Linked DNA regions of Daphnia pulex. The protein of the gene in region 2 purifies or fractionates together with the protein of the main gene of each other region. This does not show direct contact. Links are inferred from orthologs where the notes say so. Each region holds a gene or a part of one and is shown on either strand. Other genes may lie near its edges.

What was found. Proteins that work in one complex are often made in the same cells at the same time.
Region 1: the proteins of DNA (cytosine-5)-methyltransferase 1-like (region 2) and histone-lysine N-methyltransferase EHMT2-like purify together in Homo sapiens (affinity purification with western blotting; 3 studies listed by BioGRID, with this or other methods). This does not show direct contact. The link is inferred for Daphnia pulex from reciprocal best matches to the Homo sapiens genes DNMT1 and EHMT2.

What each region holds. Positions count from the first base shown.
Region 1 is NC_060028.1:9,378,695-9,383,025, forward strand, and holds the end of histone-lysine N-methyltransferase EHMT2-like, read right to left. Parts: coding exon 4,267-4,331; intron 4,204-4,266; coding exon 4,133-4,203; intron 4,068-4,132; coding exon 3,838-4,067; intron 3,768-3,837; coding exon 3,598-3,767; intron 3,537-3,597; coding exon 3,378-3,536; intron 3,311-3,377; coding exon 3,101-3,310; intron 3,028-3,100; coding exon 2,883-3,027; intron 2,824-2,882; coding exon 2,715-2,823; intron 2,651-2,714; coding exon 2,479-2,650; intron 2,415-2,478; coding exon 2,336-2,414; intron 2,264-2,335; coding exon 1,916-2,263; 3' UTR 1,240-1,915; downstream 1-1,239. UniProt on the Homo sapiens protein: Histone methyltransferase that specifically mono- and dimethylates 'Lys-9' of histone H3 (H3K9me1 and H3K9me2, respectively) in euchromatin.
Region 2 is NC_060019.1:5,827,497-5,833,001, forward strand, and holds the start of DNA (cytosine-5)-methyltransferase 1-like, read right to left. Parts: upstream 3,302-5,505; 5' UTR 3,132-3,301; intron 3,011-3,131; 5' UTR 2,993-3,010; coding exon 2,583-2,992; intron 2,520-2,582; coding exon 2,161-2,519; intron 2,097-2,160; coding exon 483-2,096; intron 419-482; coding exon 1-418. Other genes in the region: putative phosphatidate phosphatase, read right to left, coding at 4,395-4,514, 4,601-4,652, 4,759-4,941, 5,060-5,185, 5,288-5,502. UniProt on the Homo sapiens protein: Methylates CpG residues. Preferentially methylates hemimethylated DNA. Associates with DNA replication sites in S phase maintaining the methylation pattern in the newly synthesized strand, that is essential for epigenetic inheritance.

The sequences.
Region 1 (4,331 bases), on a different chromosome or scaffold from region 2:
CGTTTTTTTTTCAATCTTATTTTGAGAGCACGAATCACCGTTATGATCTCAGCATTGTCTTGCATTTTTTAAAGTGAAAAACAAAACATCTTTGAGATGGAATGACAGAGCAGAGATTCATAGCTAATTTATTAGTTAATTCAAATATCCTCCTTATCCCTATTTTGTCACTTCCGCTCTTTGATATTAAGGTGAGGATTTTTCTGCTCACCTTCCCGACATTTAGGTTTATCCAAAGTCAGAAGCCATTCACTTACAATTCCTTAAATCACATTACATATTCCTCATGAATCATAAGTGAAACATTACGTTGTTAAAATTGAACAATGTTCAGGTTTAACGACGTAATTTTGGAGCCACGCACAACCGTTTTTTAGACCTTTTTAACCAATTGCTAATGAGGATTCGCAGCTGTTGAAAGTGCGAGAATTGTTGTCCTCTCATGCTACCAGTTATTAAGTTAACCCACTTCTAAATAACAGCTTTAAGGAAAACAAATTGAAGAAAGTCCAGATTCTTTTTGTTTTAAACATTTTTAATATCTAAAATTTGTTGTTAAGATTTTATCGGAATTTTTATTGGTGGTAAAGTGGATGAATAATTTCTATCAACTTCTTCGGTTTTGATTTGCGCATTTGTTTTTGGTAAAACTGGAAGCCCGGTCACTAGATGTTTGTGCCATTAAATTTCTGATTTTATCTGCCTAGGCCTACGGGCCCTTACGCATTGTTATTGCACTTTTCTTTGCCAAAGTATCTTTCCAGAATTTAATTGGTACTGATTGTTCCAACTGAGTGTGTTCCTTACGCCTAATCTCCCACTCCCTCACTCACTCCCTACCCATAAAAACCCAGACAATTCTCACCTGATTGTTTCACCTTGTTCTTCCCGACAAGATCGACATATTGCGCATTATTATCACTTCACTGTCATTATCATGATGGTTTTCATTAATATTGTGGTGGTGTAGTTTGACAAGCAATTTTTATGTATGTTGATGAATTTCTTTTTTGGACAGAAGAGTTTTGCGTCAGTGTTATCGTTTTTTCTGAGGTTTGTTTCATTTATCGTGCAATATTACACAATCAGGCCGTTATTCGCGCTTGTTTAAAAGAAAAACAAAACATTCATTTTGTTTCTTTTTTAAAAATTCTTTTTGAAATGAATTAATACTATTTCTATACATTTCAGGTAGAATGAGGAGTGGCTCACTCATTAAGGAACTAAAACAGCAACATCTACGCAAAACGAGGTATATTTTGCCAAGAAAAATTGACAAGTACAAGGGAGGAAAATGCGAGACGAGACTTGAACATACATTCAGGTGAGATTTATTTACAGAAGAGATGATGCACGATGCACCCACAAGTCATTTGAATCGAATAGTGTTACCCATGTAAAGTGGAGCTACCATTAACATTGATAAGACGTAGGACAGCTATAGGAAAAAAAAAACATGGGACTAGGAAAAAACAAATTGCACATACTGATCAACGCGTAGCTACAAGGATTTTTTTCTACACGCACTTGTTTAGCAGGGGATCATTTCATTCCTAAAGTTGCTTGTCAACAACAAGTTCATTACGACGTAATCATGGTGATTAAAAATTAAGTAGGTGAGGGAACGGTAAACAATCGTTTCTTTTCTTCAACATTACCAAATTGAGTTCATTAACGTTTCGTAGGTAATAAAAACCAACTTGCAGGTATGATAGAGCACAAATGGAAGTGGGGAGTAGGTGGCAAAATTTTGAGTAGTGTTGAATCCAAATGGCATATTGCAAGTCAACAATAGTTCATTATGTAAAACTTTGAACGAAGGTAAGACAAAGTATAACGGGAAGAGTAATAATGAATGGCATTTGGGAGAGCGCATGCATAAGTTGGCAGCAACTAGAAATTTGTTTTTTTATTACTAACGTTGGGAGTGCTGGTAGCCATTTTCGAGTTCTTGAAGTTGCAGGCTACGCCGATATTCTTCTACTGTTCGGTGAATCGTCAACTGCGAGTACTTGCATTTCGGCGATTGGCACGAACACGTGAATGACTTATATTTGATAATCCAAAATTTGTCACCATAATCAAAAGCCAGCTCTTCATTGGCTTCAATATCTCGGACGGCGAAGAATGCGATGCGCGGAAACTTCAAATCCTGGTGGTCGACAAAAACTTTTACCGGAATTAAGTTAGGTTCACAAGAGTGGTTGATGAAGCGGGCTATATTGCCATAACGGCGGGCGTCGATGCAGTAAGTTTCTCCGTCCTATTAACAAATATTAATAGGTAAGATCATGCAGCAACTTTCGCTTAAGTACTTTTTCATTCATAAACTTACCTTGTTATCCAGATCGAAAAGATATGAATCATCCTCACGTTGATCAGCTTCAAAGTCTGTGATGATTTCGCCAATGTATCTACGAGATGAGATAAACAAGGTTATTATCTACGAAAATCACGACAAAGTTCGGGTGCACTTACTCGCAGACGTAGGATCCCATAGGAATGGGTTGAGCTGTTCGGACGCCCCAACCTTTGTTTTCGATGCGGAAAAGAACTAAACGCGAGGTAATTCCATGTTGAACTAAACGGTTGTTGCACGATCCCCGATGACACTGACATGCACGATTGCATTCGAACAACATTGGCGGATCTGTTGCAATAATTCTAAACGTGTTAGTAATTTTTAACATAGGCTACTTGTATCCAAGACTTGCCTGCGAAATTAAAGTCGGGCACCAGTTTGCCTTCTTCGTCGTACCAGCAACGAAAGCTGAGACTAGAACAGTTACAGTTGGTTGAGCAGTCACCAACACATTCGCAAAACTAGAATTAAATTTTGTTTAACTTATTTTTCTATTTAGTAGTTGTAATTTTAACAATACCGTTAGCGAGTTGATGGTTCTGTCGACATGTAGTGGACTCGTGAAGCAGTTTTCTGTGATGTAGATAAAGTCGTTAGGCTTAGGCTCATCGTCAAATCCATTTACACACTGAATCGGGTTGGCCTCTTTCCCTTTAGTGATGTCGCTGTAAAACAATTGAAGAATCCGTTGATTTAAGTCTTCTTTGAATATGTCTTGTACTGAATACTTGATCTTACTTTGAGAGGAATTTTTCAGAGTCACAATACGGCGTTTGAGTAAATGGCTGAAGTTTCATATTGACCGTCAACAATAAAGCCGAGTCACACCGCTTATCAGGACAAACCTCTAAAGCTAATTGATTCTCTTTATTCCTTAGATCGAAACGCCCGCCTCTATGTATCAGGAGCAAGGCGCATTCACAGTTATCTCGACGACTTGCCGTGTGCCTTTAATTGCACAATGTAACGATAAAGAAATCAACTCATCCTGAAAATGAAACAAAAATCAACTTACAGTGGAGTGTCGCCATGAACGTTGGCAGCATTCACTTCACATCCTTGGTCAAGTAGAAGGGCAACAATATCAACGGATCCAGAGAAAGCAGCCCAGTGCAAAGCAACGTTCTGCTCCGCGTCTCGCACATTAGGATTTGCCTTACATTGAAGTAAGTATCTAAAAGAAAAGTTATTTTATGTAGAATTGACCTCAGGTTCAGTAAATGTTTGATCATTACTTGACTATGTCTACTCGTCGATGTTCACAACCCCAGACTAGTGGTGTCCATCCTCCATCGTCTTGAACGTTGATGAAATTTTTGCCATTTCCGATTGTCATGATGTAATGGCAAGCTTCTAGATTGCCATTTTTGCATGCTAAGTGAAGCGCAGTCATCCCTCCTTCTCCCTGAAAAACGAAAGTACCCCCAAAGTTTAGAACAGGAATTAATAACTGTTATTTAATAATGTTTTTAGACCTTGAGCGATGAACAAGACCCAGCCATGGCTAGATATTTGACAGTTTCATTGTGACCTTGAATCAAAGCCAAGCTTAAAGGTGTATTTTGCGACTGATCTAACTTGTCAAGTGCCGCTCCGCTTTGCAAAATGATGTGGACCAATGCCAAATGACCGCCATAAGCAGCGGCGTGAAGTGCTGTTTGGCCGTCTGCATCCTGGTACGTCATATTCACGTTATGACCTTGCCCTACGGTATCAACAAAAATTTCATTAATAGCAGATCGTTTTCTTATTTCTTAAACTCCCCCTTACTTAAACACTCAACCACTCGTTCGATATCGCCGGTTTTAGCCGCTACGTAAAGACTCTTGTTGCTTGACGAACTGGAAAAATCAAACGGCCATTTAAGTGCAAGGATAAAATAATAATTCCAGTGAAATTAACACCTTTTGCCAGAATTTTCGAATGACTTTAAAATGCGCTGTAACATCTCATTGTTAAGGGATGGAGG
Region 2 (5,505 bases):
CCGGCGAAAATGTCTAAAGTCTTGAGCGGTTCAATTTTAGGATACGATGGGTAGGTCGGCTGAATAGATTTTACACTTTTGAGTGACTTTCCACCTTTTCCTTTGGAACTGGAACCGATTCGCTCGGCTTCCACTGGTGGCGGCTCAAATTCCCGCTCAGCCGGGTTGTAGGCCTTATTGAAATACATGCGGTTAGGTCCACCCCGGACAAATTCTTCAATGGGTTCATCAATGGCAGTGCTGCAGACAAGGACGCACTTGTCTACAACTTTGTTTAACTCCAGTTTGTGTATCTCATCCGACCAGTAGACCAAATTCCAGTCAGAGCGAAAGCCTGCATCACGCCCCAAATGGGTGTCGGCCGGACGGTAGATGCGTTTAACTTTTAGACAGACTTCACGAGCATTCAAATTGTTGTCTAAAATAAAGAAATCACGTTAGACACGAATGAATTAAATATTAATTGTTAATAATTAACTTACGCAGGATGCCATTATAGGCAATACCAACGACATAGCCAATACAGAATGGGTCGGGTGTGTCGTTATTCGATCCTTTGATGTTGTCCGTTTTCCTGTACTTTTCTGGGTAATATTCTTCGTCGTACTCTACTCCGAAAATATCATCTTCCTCTGGATCAATCTTCTCCTTTTTAACAATACTCCCATCTGGCCCCCGCATTGCATAAGCGCCCGGTTCGAGGAAAACGGCTTCACCGACTTTGATATCCAATTCGTGCCATGTGACGCTGTCAAAACCGCCTGAATCCAACTTGTTGCCCAATTTGGCAAAATCACGTTGGCGGATAACATCCAGGCGATCACAGCAGGGACATCCTTTGATGTTGTTTACTACGTCCGGGCATTCGGGTGGATCTTCAAAACGGCCGGTCCGTCCATGGTAGAGATAGCGGTACCAAAACGTCGTGTCGGAATGATCTTCTTCGCTCTGAAATAAAGACGGGTCATCTGATCCACCTTCTGCTTTCCATTTGACGGGATCCACTGGTTTGTACTTGACGTTGACAACTTTCACGACGGCAGACAGGAGTAGGTCTTCGCAATCTTCAATCAGAACAAGTTCTCTGGGATCGTCGCAAGTTTCTCCCAGCACAGTGTCAGTTCCACGGCAAAACCAGCGGGCGTGTAGAAACTGCTCCCCACTTTTCCCATCTTCCCATAAAGCTATGACTTCGGCAATATACATGGGAATGCTAGGATCATCCGGTTCGATGGTGACGTGGCCTCCGGCAAAGACGCGCATGTCTCCGTTGACAATCGCGGCAGAGTAGAAAGTGAGATCGTCGACTTCTTTCAATTCCGGTCCATCCCATTCAATTTTGTAGGCGTGGCGCTTGACAGGTTTTTTGTGGTCGACATCCAGACTCACCACCTCAATTTCCGTGTCGAGAACAGCGTCCAGTTCGTCATCGTCGTCTGCCACTTGAACAGCTCTATTCGGACACTTCCGGAGGACACAACTCTGTTTGCTGCGACCGGAACCGCCAAATTTCACCATGTCTCGACAGAAATTGCACTTACCGCAGTCTGTTTGCTGGCAGGCTTCGCAAATACCACAGCGAGTACGGCGAGGAGCAGACGTAGGGCCGAATTTGTCCTCTCCTTGCTCCATTTGATCACGGAAAAAGCTCTCGAAGACGTAACCAACCAATGGCGTAGTAGTAGCTTTTGTCCAGTTGGGGCCTTTTTTGGCTTTAGGCTGGCGTCTCTTCTCCAATTTTCGGGTAGCTCTTCTCTTACCGAGTGTGATACCTGACAATTGAATCAGCGTACGCATACACGGGCTAAGAATAAGTGGCGGCTCGTCTTCGGCTCCAGCTGCATCAAAGTGATATACGCGATCGCAGACAAATTCGGCGTAGCGCAAAAGAGAATCCTCCGATACGCGGGAACCATTGGGCATCAAAGAATTCTGCAGTCTAGTCAGTAGATCTTCATATTCGGCGTTGTCGTCTTCGATCAAGAGCTCGATGACCGTCTTGCTCAGAAAAATCTTTTCTTCCAACTCGTTCATGATGGGTTCGTACAATTCTGAAGCCGACATTAAATAGTAGTCAGCATAAGAAGTGGCGAAACCTGAAAATTGATAAATGAATACAGGAATATTTTTAAAACATCTAATTAATAAATTAAAACATACACATGATTGCTTTTTCTCCTCCATCGAAGCCACTGATGAACCACTCGTTGATGGGCCCGATCTCTTTCGTCGCAATACCTCCTTCGACACCCGGGTTATCGTTCCACACAGGCTTAACGTAACCATAAGCGAAGAGTAAATGGTTAGCTTCGATTGCACCCCCGTCTAGATGACATAAATGGCCAGGTTCGTCGTAAATGCCAAACTGGGTGAGCTTCAAGATGGGTCTTTGATCCAATTCTGACATGACCTCTTCTTCACCAGTGAACAAGCTCAACGATGGATCAGTTAGAGCAATAATTTCTTCAATGGAATCTGCTGGTGGACCAGGGAAATATTTCAAATCAGGAGAATCAAACCTTGGAAATGAAATCATTAATTGATTTTATGATAACAGACAAGAAAAATAATGATTAAGTTACCTTTGACGACACACATGACAGCGATTAGGATCTTTACGGTTGATTTTCTTCTTCCTTGATGGCCTATAGCCACCAATATCTGGCAATTCTACCTTTGCATGCCTGCTGGCAGTTCTTCGTTTTTTTTTTGTGTTGCCAGGAAGGAAATCATCGTCCCCCTCACCAGACGCAGCAGCTTCATCAAATGTATACCTAACTTTAACTCCTCTTGTCTTTGACAATACAGTTACTGGTTTAGATGTTGGCTTATTGGCTTCTTCTTCAACTGTTTTGGGCATCGGCTTGGTTTCTTCTTCAACGGGTGTAGTGTCTGGGCTTGATTCACTATTAGCTTGAAGTTCTGGGGGCTCTTCTTTCACATTGACTTCATTTCCTGCAACCCCATCACCATCTGTGCATTCTATTCTCATTATGGTTGTCAAATATACCTATAAAAATACCAATACACTTGAATAAGGCAATTATTGTAAAAAAAAACAATGCTAAAGCACATTGTTAACTGTCTAGTATGTTTTATGTATCGGGAATAATAATTCTACTTAAACTTACTTGTTGAAAATTATCCACTGATGGCCGACGTGACTTCTTTAAAAAAAACCTAAAATAATGAATTCGTAAAATCAAAATCTCTCACTGACAAAGCACTGCCAATTCAACTAACTCATGGAGTCATGGCTCTCAGCTGATCGTTTTTCGCGCCTTTTTATGGATTATGGAAGACAGTGCCAGAGACAGTGGTGCCACCTTCTAAAAAAAGACGCAATCTAAAATAAAATGAATAAATGAAAAAATGATATAAGATTATAAGATTATAAGAAATAAAAAAATTTAAATTCAAACTTTCTACAAAGTGTAAGAACCGTGCGTCCTTCAATGCGTGTATCGACGTATAGTACACAATTCAATAATTACATGAGTTTGAATTGCGGTATTTAAACTGCATTTAAACTACCCCAAATGAGAGAAGATGAATGTTTAAATTCTGGAATTTATCCCAGAAACCGTGAAGATGATAGCCTACGTTTGATGAGTTCACTTCAAACGTATGCAACAAATAGAAGATGATGACCTCATTATTCCCGAAACGATAAATCATGGCTTCATTAACCTTGATCATTATTCACAACTTTCTTTTTTAGTATCCTACTTTTATTTATCGATACTAATATAGATATTTCGCACGAAAAAAAATTTTTTCCCTTCTGTTTACCTTACTAGCCATGCACCGAAATAAAAAGTTGACGATCTCGTTAACTGCGGACTCCAGCAAACGTGCATGTTTGCAATAAAAAGATGGACCCCATTCACAAACTTGCTGTTCTAAATTCAGCGCACCCCACTAGTAGTGAGTCACGTACAGACTAAAATGTAAAAAGTCTTTGAAGGTGGAATGAGTGGAGAAGTTCCTTTGCTAAAAATCGTGTGTATTTGTTATACGGCAACTTATTATTATGTAAAGAGCGTGAATTCTCTCTTTACAGTTGCGTTCGTGAGATTTTGTTGTGTGTAAGTTAGGTTAAGGAGCAACTCAGTGAATGTTGAAATTTCTGGGTACTGAACTAAACAATAATAATAATAATACGTATGGCAAACAGAAAGGCACCTAACTGTGTGATCACGGGGGGAGGGGGTTATGAACAAGCCAGTTATTTATATTATTTTGTGAATTTTTAAAAAAGTATCAACTAATATTTTCGAAGAGTAGTCCACTGGTATGTAGCGACGAAACGGTTGACAGTGGCGGTTATTTCCCTCCTTCACTTGTGTTCAGTCTGGAAATTGATTGCCCAATCAATTACCGGCCAGTAAGAGTCATTTGCCAGCTGAAGCTTGCAGATGGTTTTGTTGCATTTCGACATCTTCTCTACTCTGTGGCACGAGGGCCATGTCTCGACGAATGGACGGCTGGAAGAGTCTGGAGACGTAAAGGGCCTGTTTTGAATTCAACACACAAGAATCAGTTGGCCACCACATCTTAACTAACAGCCGTCTGTTGTAAATTAAAAAAGCGCTGATACCGTTAAGGAAGCAGCGATGGCGCCGATGAGAAATCCCGACAGCACGTCACTCCTGTAAACAAGAAAAGAAGACATAATAAATCCCAAAAGATTGATTGCGCACTAAAGGGGATTTTGATAGTCTTAGAAAGTTTAATTATAAGTCCATGGAAACGCACCAGTGGTGTTTGTAGTCGGAAACTCGGGAAAGGCCAGTGTACCACGAAAGCATTAATACGCATATCTGGATAGTTGGCCGGAGTAGCTTTGAGCCTGACCAGTTCATCCGCCGTTGGAGATAGAAGGCCAAAAACAGCATCGTGTAAGCCGAAAAGGAAGAGTGACCAGATGGGAAAGACAATCTAAATGCAGATGACGAAAATGTGCAAGGTTTTAAATTATAATATTTTTTTATGAAGTCAGCGAGCGTGAAGGTTCAAAACAGAACCTTCCCATATTTTTCGTTTGAGTTCTATTTACCTAGATTCCCGAAGTAGTTTTTCGTCGTCACCCGTACATTTGTAATCGGTGATATAAGTAGGCGGTCCGTCCAACGGACATAACTGAGCAAAGTTTTCCGGCTGACAGACGGCAATAAAGTGGGGACTGTAAATTTGAAATATCACGTCATCAAAATCGATGATTCAAGAGAAATAAGAAACATGAGGATGGCAAAGTTCCATTCTGTTAGTTATAGTAGATACACACCGGAGACGGCCGATGGTGTATTTGCCAAAATCTGTGGCCAGCTGTGAGCAAGCAGCACCGAAGAGAAAGATGGCAACCAAGTGGACCAGCTCGGCGATCACGGAAGGTATTCGAATAGCCGATGAAACGTTGATTGTTGAAGCACTGTTCTGGCGCGTCAGCCTCTTAGAGTTGTTGGAGTTGTTTCTCCATCGAAATATCTCGATAATAATCATCTG